Linked DNA regions of Schizosaccharomyces pombe. The protein of the gene in region 2 interacts with the protein of the main gene of each other region in a biochemical or structural test. Each region holds a gene or a part of one and is shown on either strand. Other genes may lie near its edges.

Region 1 (5,684 bases), 280 kb from region 2:
TGAATTCAAAAGGTACTTGTTTGACTGATATAATCACGACTTAATACCTGCATAAAATTTAATGATGTAAAGTCTCAAGTAATAATTCACCTCAGTTGGATATAATCCTGATAAGAAAAACTATTAATCAACACTAAAATTTTCCTACCAAATTTCTTTGTTATATCACGAATACTGTAATCAATATGAAGATACCCCATTAACCAATGTCAACTACAATATTGTGCAAAGAAACAACCCCTAGTAGAAGAAGGAACAAAGGATTATAACACAAAATTATAAATGAAAAGAAAAAAATTCCAAGTTCTAATATACAATTACTGTTTGCGCCTAATTTTTCAATTTGATGGTAAAGGGTAAATTGAAGTGGGTTGCAGTACCTAATCTTACTTTAAAATTTGGTATGTCAATATACGGAAGTGCGAAAGGATTCTTTAACCCGGATTTAACTACGCCAAATTGTTTGCTAACTTAGAAATGCAGTTAATTTAGACAGTATGCTTTAATAGTATATTATAATTGCAAGGGTTTCTAGTGGGTATGATAAATCATATAGATCACATAAAATATTTTTAATGCATTAATATAGCTAATCTAGCTAACAAAAAAATTACCAAATTTACGAACCATGGTGAATGTGGTGATTTTAATACAATATTGAAAGTTAAAAAAGCCAACCAGCAGTATGGTTCAAGTGTGGAAGCTCCGTAGCTGTATTCGAAAAAAATGAAAAGAGAAAACGAATAGCCACTTACTAGTAAATTCCGTTCGTAATATTTTGAAACAGATCATAAAGTCTCGTCCAAACACTACAATTTGCCTTTTGAATCAACAAATCCACAAAGTCATCACATTCTTTGTCACCAAGCTGTAGTTGAAAACGTTGCAAAAGTTGTGCACTTGTGTTTTCACCAGCACGAAAGCAAGGCATTGTGGAATTATTTTGCATAACTTCAACAAGCAAAATGATCTGATCAGCGTTTTTTCGAACAGATTTAAACGCAGCTTTCATCAAGGAACGATATTCATCAAACCGGTCGTCAAGGATTTCTAAATAATCCGCCGTAAGCTTAAATGGAGCGCTTTCAAAGCCAACATTCCCCGGTGTATTCGTAAGTAAAAAGCCAAAATCAATATGTATAATATGACCTTCACTATCAATAAGAACGTTACCATTATGTCTATCCTTTAACTGTAGTAAGTATGATATAATGCTATATGCCACTAATGATTGAAGGAAATTTGTCTGTGCCTGTCGATACCGGCTGCTGTTGGGATCACCAAACTGCTTTATAAAATAATCCTTCAATGTAACAACATTTTTACCAGCAATTTTTCCTTGGGCTAGTTCAGCTTCCCGAAGCTGTTTCGTCAAATTCTTTTTAATAGAGTGAACACTAATGGCATTTGTAATCGTTTCTATTAAGCCACTATTGTCGCCGGTCACTAAAATTTTCATCCTTCGAACCCAAACCTTTTCTTTACACTCTAGCCAAACACGCTGAAACGCGTATATAAGTTGACAGGCAAATGTCTCTTGCCGGAGATCCGCACCCGTTTTAACAATCACACTGACCAAATCCCAATTGGGATAATGACCATAAGGAGAAGACTTTCTTATCCTTTCCTTCTTGGCATACCAATCTTCTTGGAATGTAGCGGCACTGGGATCATCTCTATCACCTTTCCGTTCTGCCTTTTGAGTTTCTTTGCCAAATCGCAGATCTTCTGCGCATGATATGTCGACTGAAACAGGATAAATGGATGGTTCATTAAGGCGCTCTTCTTCGAGTCTTTGCATGTCAAGAATAATGCTATTTTTTATTCGTTCAGTCTCAGCTTTGGGACGTCTGCTACCTTCAGCATCAAGCTGACTTAGCATAGTTGCCGCAGCTCGCATTCTCGCTGTTATTTCTGAAGCATAGATTTTACTTCTTTTTAAGGCGCCATTTCCATCAGAATCAGAGTGGCGCCCAGATAACAGGACGACATCGGTATCTCTATGAGAGGACGGTACCTGCAAAGATACATTACCAAACGAAGAGAATGACTTACTCAAAGAAAGAGTGTCCGGTACCAACCCTTTTATCAGAGGAGACATACTTAAATCCCCTCCCTCACTTTCCGACTCTGAAATATCATTGTCGGTACTGTCTTGAAGGTTCGTATAAGGATCGACATCTGTGAGGTCAAACCACCTTTTTCTTTGGTTTTTATGAGAGACAATCTTTTGCACCTTAGCCTTATTTTTCTTCGATTGTGGCTCGAAGCTGAGTTCACCAGATAGGACCTCAACCATAATAAGATAAGGTACTCGTTCGGCAGAATTGAGTATGGTAGCCTCTTTAGGATCAATGCGAACGATTTTATGACTCACTTCTTTATGATATGATCGTAAAAGCGGTATGTTCACATCGGCTGGAAGGTTGTTATTTAAAAGAGCAAGTTCGGCGCGTAATGAAGAAAGGCGAGCTTGTCTAGGTACAATGATGAGACGGATAGATATATCTTGTAAAGCAAAAAGAAATTGAATTTCTTGTTGAAAATAATTAGAGCGTAGAACACGACGCTGTTCGTCAATAGATAATGTAGCTGATGATTGATATGAATGGGTGCGGGTTAGTTCTGGAGCTTTTAGTCTAAGGGATACTTCGGAATGTTGCTCGACAATAGAGTTGTTCAAAGACGAACGTAATACGTCCAGAGAATATCGAGGTTCGGTGGAAAGACGGCGTAAAACATCAACATCTGATTCATCTGGATCTTGCCTAGGGGCTTTACGGCCTTGAGCAATTGCAATGGGGCCAGCTTTTTTTAGTAGTTCAGGCACACAAACACCACCTAGCATGATGCCTGAAAGGATTAGGGCAGGGGTTACATTTTCGGAGATTTTTTGTTGGGACTGTATTAACGATGATGATGACATGAAAACCAAAATCTGAATACGATTGTAAAGTCGTTTACATATTTTAAAACAAGAAGAATGCGGCTGTAAACCTAGATCCACCATATGGGCTTGCAAATACCAAAATGTAATGAGTGCGCATTGTGTATTTTGTTCACATTGAGAAATGATAAATTCTTCTAAAGCAACGCTTTCAGAATCTTTGTTAAGGACGAGATGACTACAGTATGATATTAGAGATGCACGAACACAACGGAATAAACGTTTGAAGGAAAGAAAATCAAAAGGTAAGAGAGTCATTAAATTATGAAATAGGCATATGAGTCATATACTCGGCTTTCACTGACTTATGAGCTCGACTTTTTGGTACTTTCCTTCCCCCCAAAAATTTTTCTTTATTTATCGAAATAAACGTACATTAATTGAGGAATAAAAAATTCTATCTCTTCATAAGGAAATCTAATATGTGTTAGACATAAAAAACAAAGAAATGATACGGTAGACATACGTTGCTAGTTTTTCGCAAAGAAAGTGATGAATGCCAATATTGTTAGGATAGCGTGAAAGATATGCAACACAAAGTTGACTCGTGAAATGGGCAGACTCAAAGAATCTTAAAAGTAACTCCTAGAAATAGCGTTAATTACGCAGCTAACACAACGATCAAAAGTCATACATTTCCCGAATTCGAAGATGGCATGTTTAACCTTGAAGCTGCATAAACATCGTCATATATTAAGTCGATGTTGATGCTAATTAAAATTAAATAATATATGCCATGTAAGGCTTAAAAAATGCGATTTTTCGTTCACTTAGCCTTCACCGTAGTATGAATGGGGAAAGTAGCGTAGGCCAAGTATCCACTAAAAGGGGAGGGTAGGTCATCATCTCAAAATGTAAACATGCCAGTTGCAAAAATTGAATTTTTGTTACAATTCCAAATATTACTAAATAAATTCTCAGTAGAGCTCAATATTAATTATGTAGTTTTAATAATACTAAAACAGGACTGTTAATTGACAATACAAAGCTTTACTATCACTGCAACGAAAAAGAATGCTACATCAATTAATCTATCTAAAATTCAAGAAAAGGACAGTTCCTAGAGACCTATAAATCACTTTCCGCTTACAGCGAAACCTTGAAGCAAAGCTGAAAAAGAAAGTGGGTATTCAGCATCCAGATAAGCTACATGCCAGTGAAAAATGTAGTTTTTAATTCAGAGAATCTAGTAGCTGTTCGCAATGGCTGTTTAATGCATTCAAAACCTTTCCTTTATACAAGTTGATGTGATAGTTTTAGATAATTTCTATCAATATTAAAAAAAATGGTTCCACGAGAAATTGACGAGAAGAAACCGCATTTGTTACAAGGTCAGATCAATAAGGGTAAGATACTAGTAGCGGAATATTGAACTGGTTAGAATAGGCATAACTCAATTTGAACTAATTAGTTTTGGTCGTCGAAGTAAATTTGAGAAGATGGGGAACAGATACTGGCACAGATAGACAGGTTCTTGCTACTTGAGCTAAAGTTGGACGGATGAATTAAAAATTGTATCGAGCACCAACTTTTTGAATAAAATCTGAAAGTTTTTCTGCGCCTTGGTGAATAGCTACTTTAATAGCTTCAATGTCTTCAGTAGCAGTTTCAGCTATATCACGAAGGTATGCGCTATCTGGACGATGAGACGATTCACCCTCCTCGTTTTCATCTTCTTCCTCACCAAAATAGGACTTGGAAGAAATAGCTGTGGCATCTCGGAAAGAAGATAAACGTTCTTGAGCTTCGGCAGCTGCCTCGGGATCAAACGATCCACGACCAAAATATTGATCAGATGAAATAGACTTCTGAGAAGCAAAGTGATCTCGTGCGTATGTCGGTGCATTAACCTCATTTTTCTTCAGTTCTCGTGCCTTTGCAGCGGCCTTAGCACGCGCATTGGATGCAGCAGCAAACTGGCCGAATCCCAAACGTGCAAAGTTTGCATTGAGGTTTGAGTCGTCAGACTTAGTTGACTTTGCGGATGCAGCAGATTTCAAAACAGGTTTTACCGGCTTTCCTTGCACAGTGGTCGAAGTGGACTCCTTGACTTCCTCGACTCCATTATCTACCAATGTATCAACGGTGCTTTCCTTAGACGCAACAGCAGCAGGTTTTTTGGTTGGCGCAGATTCGGAAGACAATACAGCTTTTTCGAACTCATCGAAGTCAATATCGGCATTCGCCTTTTTGATACCGAGCTTCTGAGGTCTACTAGCACCCAATTTACTAGCAGTAGGGCGTGAGGAAGCACGGATAGGCCGGGCACGAGCAGAAGAAATAGAAGAAGTTTTTGATTTGGTAGTGGAAGTAGAATCTGGACGAGAAGGGGGAGAAACCATAGTCTTCTCTTCAGTGACGACGACAGGCTCATCTTTCTCGCCGCTTTCAACAACTACCGATGAACTAGTAGAAGCTAAGTCAGTTTTGTCATCAAGATTATCGTCCGATTTCTTCACAGATGCTTTATCCCAAGCAGAAAAAAAGTCATCATCTTCATTAGTAGTGTCAGCAGCAGAACTGCCTTCATGAGTGTTGGAAAGGAAATCCATATCCAATATATCGGGATAATTAGCCTCGTCTTCTACCGCAAGAGACTTTAGTTTTTCAAGATATTGTTTTGCAGTTTTGGAAGAATATTTCAAACGACAATCCTTGGAATTCAGAAGTGAAACCCCACCATGACGCTTAAAGTAATTACGGGCGTTTTCATTGCCACCGACCCGCATTACACGAA
Region 2 (6,079 bases):
TTCTTAAAAACGAAGGTGTTATTGGTAGAAGCTGTGTACGATATAAGAAAAAAAAAACAAAAAAAAATAAATAGAACCCGTATTTAAGCCAAAATTGTTCAGTTGTTGTATGTTACGAAAAAATAAGTTTCAAAAATTAAAAAAATTAAAACTGCTGAATATAACATTTATATGTCTTAATTACTTTTTTGGTTTTGACGGCGAGCACGGACAGCTTCAGCAAGATCGTCTAGCATTGGAGCAGTTTGTTCCCAGCTAACACAAGCATCAGTGATACTGACACCGTACTTGAGAGTATCCTTAACGCCAGGACGGATTGGAGCATCTTGACGACCTTCATTGATATGAGATTCAATCATAACACCAACAATGGAAGAGTCGCCATTTCTGATTTGTTCGGCGATGCTCTTGGAGACCTTTGGTTGGTTCAAATGATTCTTGCTTGAGTTGCCATGAGAGCAATCGATCATGATACGAGGAGGAAGGTTGGCCTTCTCAAGATCTTTGCGAACGGCGGCAACGTGCTCAGCATCATAGTTAGGACCCTTCTTACCACCACGCAAAATGATGAAGGTATCCTTGTTGCCCCTGGTCATGGTAATAGCGGCGAGACCTTGTTTAGTAACTCCTAGCATTGTGTGAGGATGGGCGGTAGCACCAATGGCATCAATCGCCACACCAACAGTACCATCAGTACCATTCTTGAAACCAACAGGGAAGGAAAGGGCAGAAGCCAATTCACGATGTAATTGAGACTCGGTAGTACGAGCACCGATAGCACCAAAACTGAGTAAGTCGGCGAAGAATTGGGGAGAAATGTTGTCCAACATCTCACTGGCCAAAGGAATGCCAAAATTGGTAACGTCGCAATACATTTGACGAGCCATCCTAATACCCTTGTTGATAGCAAAAGAACCATCCAAGTTAGGGTCGTTGACCAAACCCTTCCATCCGATAGTAGTACGGGGCTTCTCCAAATAACAACGCATGACAACGCACAAAGCATCCTGAAGCTCGTCAGCTTTGGGCTTCAGCAACTTAGCATAGTCCATGGCCAATTTAGGGTCATGAATGGAGCAAGGACCGACAACAACGATAATTCTGTCATCTTGTTTGTTGAGAATAGCTTGAATCTCCTTTCTGGAGTCAGTGATGACTTTGCGAGAAGTTTCAGAAACAGGAATCTCTTGTTGAACCAAAGCGGCAGGAACCAAAGGGTTGTAACCTAAGACACGGTTGTCATCAAGATGCTCTTGATCGTAAGTTTCACCGCTGGGTAAAAAAACCTAATTGAATAATGTTAGCAAATTGACATTAAAAAAAAAGACCAAACATGCTGGACATAGCAATCAACATAAAGCAATAAAAATTTCAAAAAAAAGAAACAAAAAAATTTAAAATTTCAATTGCCTAAAAATTCATCAGCAAAAACAAATTTGTTATCCGCATAGTAAAATCTACTATATAACTCAATAAGATAACTTTCAGTACTGTTTCTCCGACTGATGAAAATTTTTACTAGCAAAATTCTTTGGATGCCCAATTGGGGTTACTTACCGGAGACATGGCTTATTAAATAGAATTAATAAATTTAGGTCAAAGAGTGCTTCCTAAGTTGTTGAATGCCAAGTAAGTAAACACTATTAAAGGTCCTTTACTACGACGAAGGTTGGTTCTGTCTGAGTTCGAAGCAGCGCCAACGAAAAATATATGTAGTCCAGTAATAAGATGATCCAGTGATAATGGCTCTAAGTCATCGGAACTGCGAAACAAGTAGTAGGCAATTTCTGGACATCATCGCTTAAAAATTTGTTCAAATTTATAAGTCCTTTGTTTTGTATCAATTTCTAGATTTCACTTGCTATTTAATTACTTGAAAGTAAATTGAAGGTTGAGCGTAAAAACATAAAATAAAGCCTTTTTTCGGTTTCTTATTAATTCATAAATTAATGTTAAAAGGGATTGATATATAATATTTAATAATTACGTTTCCTACAATGTTTACTGTCATGTACCACTGGGATATGAGAATATATACATTGCTTATCAAAATACTTATTTCCAAGATTCGCTCAATTATATAAACCACGCATTAAAGCAACATATAAAAACATATTGATTCGTTTATTTTACTTTTACTCAATGCATATTTTGTGAGCCCGAAAATTTAGATATACCATCTGTGACTGCCTTTTTGGTACACAAACGCCGAAAATTAGAAGTCTGGTGGACAGCGTTGGCTTTCCGGTAGATTAGTCTTTTGAGGTTAACAAGTTAATGATATCTGATATTCTGATGTGATTATTGAATTTATGAAGTGCATCAGTACTGTATTTCTCGTGTTCCGGTGACTCTCGTATTTTGTATTGCACTAGAAATAGTGAAATCGCCAGCCATTTCATAATTTATCAAGTAGCTCGACATTAGTATGACTATTCATATTCTGTATACGAATGATGTTCTAAATTAAAATCTGGCAAAGTAAATGACAATTCTGTTCATATAAGCTGGTTTACATAGCTCTACGTTCTTTAGTAAATTACTAAACAGATCGCTATACAGTAAACATTATCATGGCAACGGTTGCTATGGGGCTTATAGGTGCGTGTACACAGATTACAGTCGACTTAGTACACTTACCTTCATCCTAACAATCCATTTAGAATAGTCAAACATGTCGACAGACGATTCACCTTATAAACAAGGTAATAACTACTTTTTGAAATCATTTCAAAATGTTTATTAACGAAAAGATAGCTTTTTCTTTATTTGACCGCCATGGAACTGGTCGCATCCCCAAAACGTCCATTGGTGATCTTTTAAGAGCGTGTGGACAAAATCCTACGCTGGCTGAGATTACTGAAATTGAATCTACTTTGCCCGCAGAAGGTATGATTTCTTGTTATGGGTTTGGAGAGTTATACTCCTTAGCCGTGCATTAAGTGACAATACTAATTGGTAGTCGATATGGAACAATTCCTTCAAGTGTTAAATCGTCCCAATGGGTTTGATATGCCTGGTGACCCAGAGGAATTCGTGAAGGGCTTCCAGGTGTTTGATAAAGATGCCACTGGCATGATTGGAGTGGGTGAATTGCGCTATGGTATGTATTTATAGAGATCTATCCTTTTTTCAGATTGATAAAAAAATGCGAAACTAATTGTATCAGTTTTAACTTCTTTGGGTGAAAAACTCAGCAACGAAGAAATGGACGAGTTATTAAAGGGTGTTCCCGTAAAAGATGGCATGGTTAATTATCACGGTATGCTCTATTACTACTCTGGGCTTCGGCAATCAACTACCTATACTTAATTATACTAACTGCTTCCTTTAGATTTCGTTCAAATGATTCTTGCCAATTAATTAAATCTACATAGTTTGCATAATTTACCCGGCATATGTTTCTCCTTTATTATTTACACCTTTATTTCAATTTTATGTCTTCAATAGTTTACTTTCGTTCAGCTTTTCCATCTGATACACTTGGGACTATGAAGCAATATGTTCCTGAATACAGATAACTGGACTTTTCGATACTCGCAGGAATTTCTACACATATCGTTTAGCATACGGAAATAGAGATATCCTTCTATATTCGTATATTTATGAATATGATTAACAACCATTTGTTATCTCATGCAAATGACCTTATATCTCAGCTGCTTAAATTGTTTGAATCTCTCCAGATGTAAATATAAGTTTTCATTCAAAATTACACTTTTCGTAAGTAATTACGGTTGATGCCAGCTTTCTTGATGCATTCGGCTCCAATTTTGCCATATCGTGTATATCTTGTATATCTAATTTACTGTGTGTCAATACGATGCTTTGAATTAGATGTAGGGCTTGACACTTGATGTCGAACGAATGGCCAGAGTCAAGACAGTCCATTCTTTTGCATTTTTACATAGTGAACACAAATCATAAAGGTAAAACTTTTGGCTCATTTAGACATGCAATCATATAACCCAACAATTAGTCATTTGTTTGCTCTAAGGCCTGAGTAGCAAAATATTGAACATCAGGGTCATTATCTTTTGTAAGTTGTTCGAGCAATGGGATGATTTGCTGTTCATATACGGTCGAGTCACCACCAGCTGCCAAAACAGGCTTAAGAACTTCAAACGCCTTGGCAACGTTAAAGCGAATATTAGGAATAGGGTCATTAACCAACTGTTCCAAAGTTGGAAGAATTTGTTTTTCAATTACTTCAGCATTCAATGCAGGTGCGATTTCCTAAAATACGTTAGAACTGGAAAAAAGCAAAAAAGAAAAACTTACACTGATCGCAAAAATAGTTGTCATTCGGTATAAATAATTTGGATGGCTTCGCATAGCCAAAAACTTTGGAATAATTGTCTCAGTTGCCCATTCCAACCCAAAAATTTCCGTAAGTTTTCGCAAATTCTTTATCGCAGCTTCACGAATAGAATATACATGGTCCTCTAACCATGACATACATAAATTGCCCATTTTCTCATTAAAAAATTCGACCCCAAGCTGCTGAGCAAGTAGTGGAATGTAGTCAATGATAGCAAGACGAACACGCCATTGTTTATCTTCAGCAAGTGTAACAATTGCAGGCAATAAAGATTGTGAAAGTAATTCGATACCAACGACTAAAGTGAGTTAGTATAACTGTAGCAATAGCTATATTTTGAATTTGCAATTTACCTTTGTTTACAACTTCCAATTTCGAAATAATGTTAAGACGAACTTCAGGGTTTTCATCTTTAAGTAATTCCAAAAACATTGGTAAAAGATACTCTGTAGTCCTAAATATAACGATTAGTAAAATGAGGTTTTTAAAAGAAAAGTTATTTTTAGCAGACATACTTTTCCTTTCCTAATTGTGGGGCGAGAGCACCTATGTTCATCCCTAAAGCAGCACGGACATGTTGAGCGGGATCATTAATTAACTCTTGAATAACTGGAATAATCTCTTCAAGAACAATTCGCTTATCCAACAATTCGCAAAATCCTGGTATTTGAGTAGCAATAGCACGGCGGACTTCCTGCTCGGTATCCTTCATGAGCAGTACGAATGGTTTAATAAGTTCATCTTTAATAAGAGATGGTCCAACTACTTTAGCAAGTTTTACAAAATTAGCAGCAACCATATAACGTGTTCTCCAGCTGCTATCCGAAACAAAAGACCTTAATGGTTGAAGCAAATAGTGACGAATTTCCGAGTCAGATTTTAATACCTCCGCCAAAGAAACCATAATGTCGAAAGAAAGGAGCCGAACTGAGTCTTGGTCATCATTAGAAAGGGAGTTGAACAATGGAATGAATTCGTCAATAGCCTCCTGTTTAGTTACCAAAAAAACAAACTTGGCACAGTTCGTTGCTGCAGGACGACGGACCATGGGAGCTTCGTCGTGACATAGATGACTAAAACTTTGACGAAGAGAGACTTTGACAGCAGGATTTTCTGACTGAGAATATGCCGCGCAGTAAAGCCCAGCAGAGGACGCACGAGAGGTAAACCACTCAGCGGTTGAAAGACGTTGAACCAATGGAACAAAATATTGCTCTAATTGTTCTTGGGATAGGCAAATACATACTTTATTGAGAGAGTCAACGGCTTTATCGCGGACTACCGTTTCTTCAGTTGCAGCAAGATTTTCAAGGGGAGACAAAAGGACATGCGCATACTCAGGGCCTCCAACATAATCTACAAAATTTCCTAACTGGTCGGCGAGAGCTGATAGGACTTCGTCCTCATCGTCAATCGATTCTGTATTCAAGGAATGTTAGCCGACAAACATACATCGTTTATTAAAAAATATAAAGAATTTTAAAAATTTAAACCTATAGTTCCATAATTTTATTATTGAATGCATACCATCTAAAAAGGGAATCAACTCATCCCTTGTACGTTCAGGACCTAAAGCGAGAGCAATTGTCGATAACCGTTCCAAAGCATTGAGCCTATAAGTAATTTCATCATGCTTTAACAATAGTCAGAGTTGAACATATCAGACGTAAAACAATTTGTTACCAACCTTTAACTCATCAATCAAAACAGCAATCGGATACAAATCGTTCACTTGCTATAAATAGTCGTGGTTAATAA
Region 3 (7,486 bases), on a different chromosome or scaffold from region 2:
TGGGTGTTGAGGTCTACCCTTCCTATGGAACTTCAAAAGGATTCTCGCTTAATTGTAGATTCGGTATTGGATACTGCTTATTATGGATTTTTGATGACTGTGATCGCATTCATAGCCGTTTCTCATTGCAGTGTAGGACATTCAGAACTGCAATCTTTTTTGCAGGAACTTCTAACAGAGGAAGAAACAACCCCTTTGCATCTGGATATTACTCGCTCGTTATCTCTTTTAGTTCGCCAAGGGTATTTAGATAGAGTGAAAGATGATACCCATAACCAGTTTGTTTATTATATTGGATCCCGTGCAGTAACTGAAATTTCTATTGAAGGCTTGAAATCATTCGTTACAGAGTTCTTTCCGGATTCAGACATTGATATGGATGCTCTATTAACCGAATATCGGCAGGAGTATCAGAATCAATCTTCCTCAAGTGCAGCATAGATGACTCTTAGGTTTTTACATTATGCTCGTCTCATGTTAATGCTATTGTATACTTACTCCGCTACTACAAAAAAATTCGTAATATTATTTAAGTTCCTATATGCGTGCTAATATCTCGATATAAATTTAAGATGTATATTTGGTTATATAGCGGGAATATTATGTACAGCTGTTAAATAAAAAAAATAAAAAAATAGCTCGTAAACTTATAAGAGAAGTATATGTCAGTATATATAATATAATTAATAAAGGTTTCATCATTACAAAATCATTTAACTTCATGCGGCGCGCAACTCATCTTCAAGGCTTGCAATGCGATCTCGTAAAGCTCTCACATCTATTAACGAATCTTTGTTCACTTTTTCCAAAGAAGCAATTCGTTTTTGTAACTCCTGCTCACGTTTTTCATATTGTACTTGAACGGAAAACATTTTTGCCTTTTCGCTATTTATTTGATCCTTCAGAGCTTTCAATTCAATAGCATGAGCCAAGTTGACATGTTGCAAAGATTGGCCAGTAGGTTGAGGTGATACTTCGGCCCCTTTTAACTCATTAACTTGCTTCTCTAAGTTGTGCTTCTCAAGATTAAGACGGTCGTAGTCTCGTTTCAAGTTCTCGTATAACGCTTGATTTGCATTTCTTTGCTGTAAATCAAAAATTGTCTTTCGTTGTGGAATATTTTTCAAAACGGGTTCCGTAGTTTTGACAGCCGGTATATTATTCTCCTTTCCGGACGGTCTATGTTCTTTAAGGCGATGTATCTCTGCCTCTCGCTTCTTGCAGGAATCAAGAGCAGAATTCAGTTCCTTTCGAGTATCAACCAGCTTCATTTCTACTTCTGAAAGCTTACTACGTATACTTTCATGATCAGCAACTTTGTTCCTTAAAAGGGTGACTTCCGAACGGAGGCTTCTAGTTGTTTTTACTTCTTCTAGTACCTTTTGATACTCAACTTCAAGCTTTCGTTTACTCTCCAACTCTGATTTCAAAGAGCGTAATTCTTCGTTATCTCGACTAGCTATCAATGCTTTACGCTTTTCATCTTCAAAGGTCTTACCGAGTTGACTGTACTCGTGCATTAAGTTAGTAATCTTCCTCTCAAGTTCGGGAACCTTAGATGCTTTTGGAGAAAGTTCATTTACTTGCTTCGTCAAACTCGATACCTTATTAGAGAGATCTTTATTCTCGGAGCTCGCCAACGAAAGCTTTTCCTTGTAGGACGCCGATTGCCGAAGAAGACTTTCATGATTAAAGGTCAAATCACGATGTTTTTTCGAAAGTTCCTGAAAGTTTGTATCGACGTCTTTTAACCCCTCCAAGTCCAGCTGAAGTCCTTCATATTTTTTCTTGTAATTCTCCAAGTCGCTAACTTTAAGAAGTAAATTCTCATGGATTTCTTGCAATTCAATGTACTTTAAAGAAGCATCTGACAAATTTTGGCATTTCTCTTCCTTATTTTCAAGCTCTTTCGTTAACGATTTGATGTTATTTAAACATTCTTTAACTTTGGCTTCCAGTTCTTTATTTTTGGTAGCCTGGAGCTGATAAAGTTGATCTTTGTCATTCAAGGATTCTAGTTCTTTCTTCAATTTCGGAAGCTGTTTGACATCGGCTTCCAAATAATTAACCTTCTCTTCTAAGTTATTTATTGTTAACTCTTGCACTCCTTTCAAGACGCTTAACTCTTCTTTCTGCTGTTTTAAAATAGAGACGTCGCTTATAAGAGTAGAATTTTCACGTTCTAATTTTTTGACTCGTTTGAGACTCTCAGATAAAGAACCTTCCTGCTGAATACTCTTTTCATTCATCTTCTGATTTGTCAGTCTCATTTCTTGAATTTCAGTTTTATAGTCAGAAATATATTTAGTGAGTTTATCAAGTTCAGCATCCTTGGTAACGATAGTTTCCTGTAAACTTTTACATTGTTCATTGAACTCTGCTTTTTCTGATAAAACAGTTGCATTGTTCTCACGTAAAGACTCAAGTTCTCCCTTTGTATCTAGCAAATCCTTCTCTTCCAAACTCAGTTTTTCTTTCAGTTCGTTCTGTTCTGATAACAAAGTCTCAACCTTGGAAGTTTTTTCTAGTAACTCACTTTCTAATTCGTTATTAATCTGTTTCAATGACGCTGACTCTCGTTGCAAATTTTCATTTTGCTGTTTTGTTTCGCTAAACGAATCTTCTATGTTTGCAAGCCTTTCCTGTGTTCGACGTAATATTTCCTCCTTATCAAGGGCTATCGCACGTTCAGTAGTAAGCAAATTTTCAACAGCAGTTAAAGAATTGTTGGTCTCGACGAGATCACGCTCTACCTCAGATTTTGAATTCTGTTGTTTTTTCAGCTCGTACTTCAGCTCTATGATTTCAGCATCTCGCTTTTTAAGCTGCTTATCATTTTGAGTACTACTTAATAAGGGCCTTAGATTGAAAAATAACTTAGCCCAAGGAAAAGTTCTAAATTCATTGTACACTTGCAAATTTGCTTGTAGTAATTTGATGGCTTGTATGTCCTTCAATCGCTTTTGAAAAATTTTTCTTTGAAGAAAGCCACGGATCCTTGTTTGTAGCATAGTCATCAGTCTTTGTAAAGTCGCTACGCGCCTCTCCTCTAATTCTGCTAAAACACCTGCTTTGAAAAATATTTTTGAAACACCAATTCGATAAGATGCTTCGTCAATTTTCAACTCCTCCAAAATCATGACAGAAGCACGTCGAGATTCCACATAGGTACCTGTTGGTAAATGCGCCATTATCTCATATCTGACTCTAAAATCATTAAATGGTAAACGGTTAGGAAAACCAGCCCTTGTGATTCTGATTCCTTCCAAAACACCATTACATCGAAGTTGTCCTAAAACGAGGGGTCTATTAAAGGTGTGCATTTTCTTTTCTTCGTTTGGAACAATACAACGAATAAAGTGAGGTTGGGTCGAGTTAAATTGATTCATAAGCTGATTGAGCTGCTCTTTATGCCTTTGAGCAACAGTTCGAAAAAGGCCCTTTTTCGTCCTTCCCCTAACAGTTTTAGTCTCAGTTTCCTGATAATCAGAAAATAGTGTAGCGACATGCTTGTTAGTAGATTGCGCAAGCAACTTAGCAACGTTTTCATTCAAAGGATCGGTGTTCTTCTCCAGCCAACCTTCTGTACTGTAAGGAACATCAGCGGCATAATGAGTCAAAATAAAACCTTGATCGGCAAACTTAAAAGGTTTATATTTTAGCGACTTGTTCCTCCAAAGAGCATCAAGTTTAGAAGTAAACGTAGCATCAGTTGCTTTCGGCATAACACATTCTTCATCCAAACATGAAAGAATACCTATTGGGTTTGCTTTCTCGATTAAATCAATAGTCGGCTGTAAATCATGTCCAAAATCAATGAAATCCCATACAATTTCTTCTTTCATATATTCTTCTTGCTCCAATACGAACATGTGATGGTTAAAGAATTGTTGCAACTTTTCATTTGTGTAATTAATGCAAAGTTGTTCAAAACTGTTTTTCTCAAAGATTTCGAAACCGGCGATATCTAAAATACCAATAAAGTAGCTTTGGGCATTGGAATGGTTCAAGGAAGTGTTAAGTCGCTTTACCAGCCATCCAAAATTCCTTTCGTATATGGCTTTTGCTAATGCTTCAATGGACGAAATGACTTGAGTTTGACTTCGAGCGCTGATAACCCATTCATGGCCTGCTTTAATACGAGGTCGAACAAGATTTTGTGAAAATAACTCCGGAGACACACCAAGCAAATGACAGAGCTTGTCAATCTCATCAGGATTGAGAAGACGAGCTATACCAGAGCGATCAGCACCGACATCAATATTTCCCATATGTAGAATAATGGAAAGTATATTAAATAAATCAAAGTTCTCTTTATCGTCAAATCCAAGAGTTTTAAAAGCAGCTAAAAGAGTTTTAAACTCTTCTTTATCGTCAACTCCATCAATAATGTGAACCGAATCCTTCAAATATCGATAATCATTACAGTTATCGGTTAAAAGAAGTTTGTTCTTGAGAGCAGTATCAGCACCACTTAAAAGCTGATAAAAAACATGGTAGTTTCTTTCAAACTCGTTCTGATGAACAACGCGAGATTTTTCAAGAAGATACCATTCTATGGCGGCATTCGAAATTTCCCCACTCAAAGAAAACTCAACTTTAATGAATTTTCCAAAACGAGAAGAATTGTTGTTGCGTACGGTACGAGCATTACCAAATGATTCGAGCACAGGATTCGTTTTAATGATCTGCTCTTCAACCTGACTAGAGCCAACGGTAGTCGAGCTAGCAATTGCTGCAAGATATTGGATGATTCTTTTGGTATTCTCTGTTTTACCTGCGCCGGACTCACCAGTTACAAGAATCGATTGATTTTCCTTATTTTCTAAAAGGTTATTGTATGCTAAATCCGCGATTGCGAAGACATGAGGTAGCTTGCGCTCTTGTGTTTTATCTTTGTACAATTGAATGATGTCCTTCGTATAGATTGGTAGTCCACAATAAGGATTGACCGCAACGAGAAAGAGCCCAGAATAGGTATAAATTTGATCAGAGAGATATCTCTGTTCAAGATTGTATGTGACTGCAGGCTCGTTTAAGTATGTCAACTCAGCCATGTCATTGACTCTATCAAACTTGGCAGGATTCACCGGATCAATTTCATCCTCACCAACGATCTTCTCATCCCTGGAATTATTATACCGAACAACATATTTCTTGTCTGGCAGATCCTCTTTAATCCAAGCCTTGGTAAAGGCAGTCTCTGGGTCGGAAATCCAAACCCATCGTTTATCATCAATATCCTTCAGACTAGTTGCACCATCTTTTGCAGTTATTTTATTAGATATTACTTCTGTCATCGGGCTACTCTCTAAGACGGTTATTTACCGCCTTTCCTGAAAATAAACAATGCGGTGTACAATACCAAAACCTTGTAAAACAATAAGGATAGACCAAAAATCAAAGAGTGAAAAAATCCAAAAAGATAGCAATAGATATATCCGAAAAGAAGGATCAACAAATGCACAGAGAAAACGTTAAAGAACTATGTTGTTGGATACTTTTTGTACTCCCCGTTGAACGCACAGCAATTAATGATTTAAGCACTTGAACATTCGATTAACGCATGCGTTAATCGAACGTTTATGTACTTGATCATATTTGCGTTAAAACATTTAGTATAGGTTAAGGTAGCATCCAGAAACATTCCTATAACATAATGATTTTAATATCACAATTAAGAAGGTATATATATCTTTTAAAAGAAATAATATTAATAGATGGAGGTCATTATATACTCGGTCTTTTGCAATTAAAGTCCTGACAAATTTTTAAAGCTTTACTTTCATCAAGATTGAAGATATTAAGTAATAATTGAAAATACATTGTACTAATACTCAAAACATCAAATGAACGTAGGATTAGGGGTTACGGTTTAATCGAAATTTCATGTTCCCCCGTGCTTTTAGGTAAAATGATTGTATAAAAAACTCCCGCTATTACAGATATATGAGTAATTTGTGACTAGATACGCAAATAATATGTTCCTCATCGTACCGAACACAACTTTTAAAGCAAATAACTAAACTCGGCATTTATTTATCTACATTTTATATATAGCACTCTAATCATGCCTCTTACTGAATAATTATAAGAACACGCTCTAGCTAATAATCGCAATCAGTAATTATTATGTGCTTACTGACCATCTACAGCTATGGCCCTGGTAATAATCAATAAGTAAATATACAGAAATGTTAGTTGCTTCAGTTAGTGTTTGAAAGAAAGCATGGTGCTTCAATGTGTAACCACATCTTTAAACTTATGATCAAAACATGCAGAATACCATAACCAGTTACGTAAAAAAACAACAATGTTCTCTGTTTTCATCAACTGTAGTCGGCAAGTTTATGCAACTTGTACAATAAGCCAATTTTGGCTTAACACTGAACATAATGATAGTAGCGATCATTTTAAGTAATTAAAAAATGTTAATGCATGCAGATTTTAATATTCCTTTGTGATAAAATGGGTAGGGAAATGTAAAAAAAAAAAAAAAGAAGAAATAAAATTTCAAGGCTGCGATAAAATATGATTCGAAAGATGCAGGATGTTCCGTAAAACAAAATAAGATAAACGTTTCCGATATTCAAAAGTATGGATGAGTAAAAAAGACAATCATGGCAAGAAAACTTGTAATAAATATGATAATTATCAATCTTCAATTATGAAGGAGTTTGTTTTTGCCTTATTTAAAGCGAGTATCAAATGGCGATCGTGATACTGAGGATGAACCATGCCAAACATTATATATTTCCCATTGGCTAGCCAATCACTGTTACTAGGGTAGTATTTAATGTCATTTCCTTGGATAATTTGATTAAGTTTCCTAGTTCGCGTGTTCCATATTTCGACAAATTCATCATTAAATGCAATGAGATATCCATGACAGCTGGTAACAGAGTTCGGTTTGCCAATCCAATCAAACCAACACTCTTTATTAACCATACTACCCTCTCCATTGACAAACACGGCACCGAATTGATAGCAGCATGCAAATAAGCTAGGATCGTGGATGCGAAAGACGCCAAGCGGCTTACTGTTGTTGATTCGGTTCCGAAACAACGTATCATTAAGCACTGAAGGGCTTGGAAAACCAACTGCTAATTTAGGGTCCAAACGCAGAACGTCAATGCCTTTATTGTGACAAAGAGCAATTGAATACTTAAAGCAATCAATTGAATGACAGTTAGCCGTTACGTGAAAATCATCCAGAGTTCTGAAGGAAGTAACATCTTTTCTCTTGAAGGCATATGTTTTCTGATAGTTATGTCCTAAGCCGATCACTGGTTCACAGCAAATTATGGTTGTAGTATTACCGAGTCCCTCTTTATAAAAAACCAAAGTTCGCTCACGTTTAACAGAAGCCCCCTCAGACAATTTACCTATTTTAAAGAATGATACGGCATGCGGAGTTCCAATGACAACTGCAATTTTGGATTCGATCAGACCCATTTCAATAATACGACTTAATTTATGAGCATAA

What was found. Proteins that work in one complex are often made in the same cells at the same time.
Region 1: the proteins of cdc4 (region 2) and pik1 form a complex in vitro, tested with the Schizosaccharomyces pombe proteins (2 studies listed by BioGRID).
Region 3: the proteins of cdc4 (region 2) and myo2 form a complex in vitro, tested with the Schizosaccharomyces pombe proteins (one study listed by BioGRID).

The regions. Positions count from the first base shown.
Region 1 is NC_003424.3:5,048,655-5,054,338, forward strand, and holds pik1 (Golgi-specific 1-phosphatidylinositol 4-kinase, type III-beta Pik1), read right to left. Parts: upstream 3,755-5,684; 5' UTR 3,606-3,754; coding exon 3,582-3,605; exon of another isoform or gene 3,533-3,581; coding exon 3,414-3,532; exon of another isoform or gene 3,370-3,413; intron 3,365-3,369; coding exon 3,323-3,364; intron 3,172-3,322; exon of another isoform or gene 3,126-3,171; coding exon 755-3,125; 3' UTR 501-754; downstream 1-500. Other genes in the region: glo3 (ARF GTPase-activating protein), read right to left, coding at 4,453-5,684. UniProt on the Schizosaccharomyces pombe protein: Acts on phosphatidylinositol (PI) in the first committed step in the production of the second messenger inositol 1,4,5,-trisphosphate. PIK1 is part of a nuclear phosphoinositide cycle and could control cytokinesis through the actin cytoskeleton.
Region 2 is NC_003424.3:5,326,544-5,332,622, forward strand, and holds cdc4 (myosin II light chain cdc4), read left to right. Parts: upstream 1-2,644; 5' UTR 2,645-2,674; coding exon 2,675-2,705; intron 2,706-2,757; coding exon 2,758-2,889; intron 2,890-2,962; coding exon 2,963-3,103; intron 3,104-3,169; coding exon 3,170-3,262; intron 3,263-3,334; coding exon 3,335-3,363; 3' UTR 3,364-3,975; coding exon of another isoform or gene 3,976-4,236; 3' UTR 4,237-4,281; downstream 4,282-6,079. Other genes in the region: SPOM_SPAP8A3.07C (phospho-2-dehydro-3-deoxyheptonate aldolase), read right to left, coding at 177-1,286, 1,558-1,566; serine/threonine protein phosphatase PP2A scaffold subunit Paa1, read right to left, coding at 3,976-4,236, 4,282-4,619, 4,675-4,775, 4,837-5,740, 5,849-5,954, 6,009-6,056. UniProt on the Schizosaccharomyces pombe protein: Involved in cytokinesis. Required for the formation and function of the contractile ring.
Region 3 is NC_003421.2:1,232,731-1,240,216, forward strand, and holds myo2 (myosin II heavy chain myo2), read right to left. Parts: upstream 5,507-7,486; 5' UTR 5,301-5,506; coding exon 720-5,300; 3' UTR 501-719; downstream 1-500. Other genes in the region: Smc5-6 complex non-SMC MAGE family subunit Nse3, read left to right, coding at 1-441; RhoGEF for Rho1, Rgf3, read right to left, coding at 6,655-7,486. UniProt on the Schizosaccharomyces pombe protein: Required for cell division. It is a component of the cdc12 'spot', a structure thought to mark the site of septation. May work in conjunction with myo3.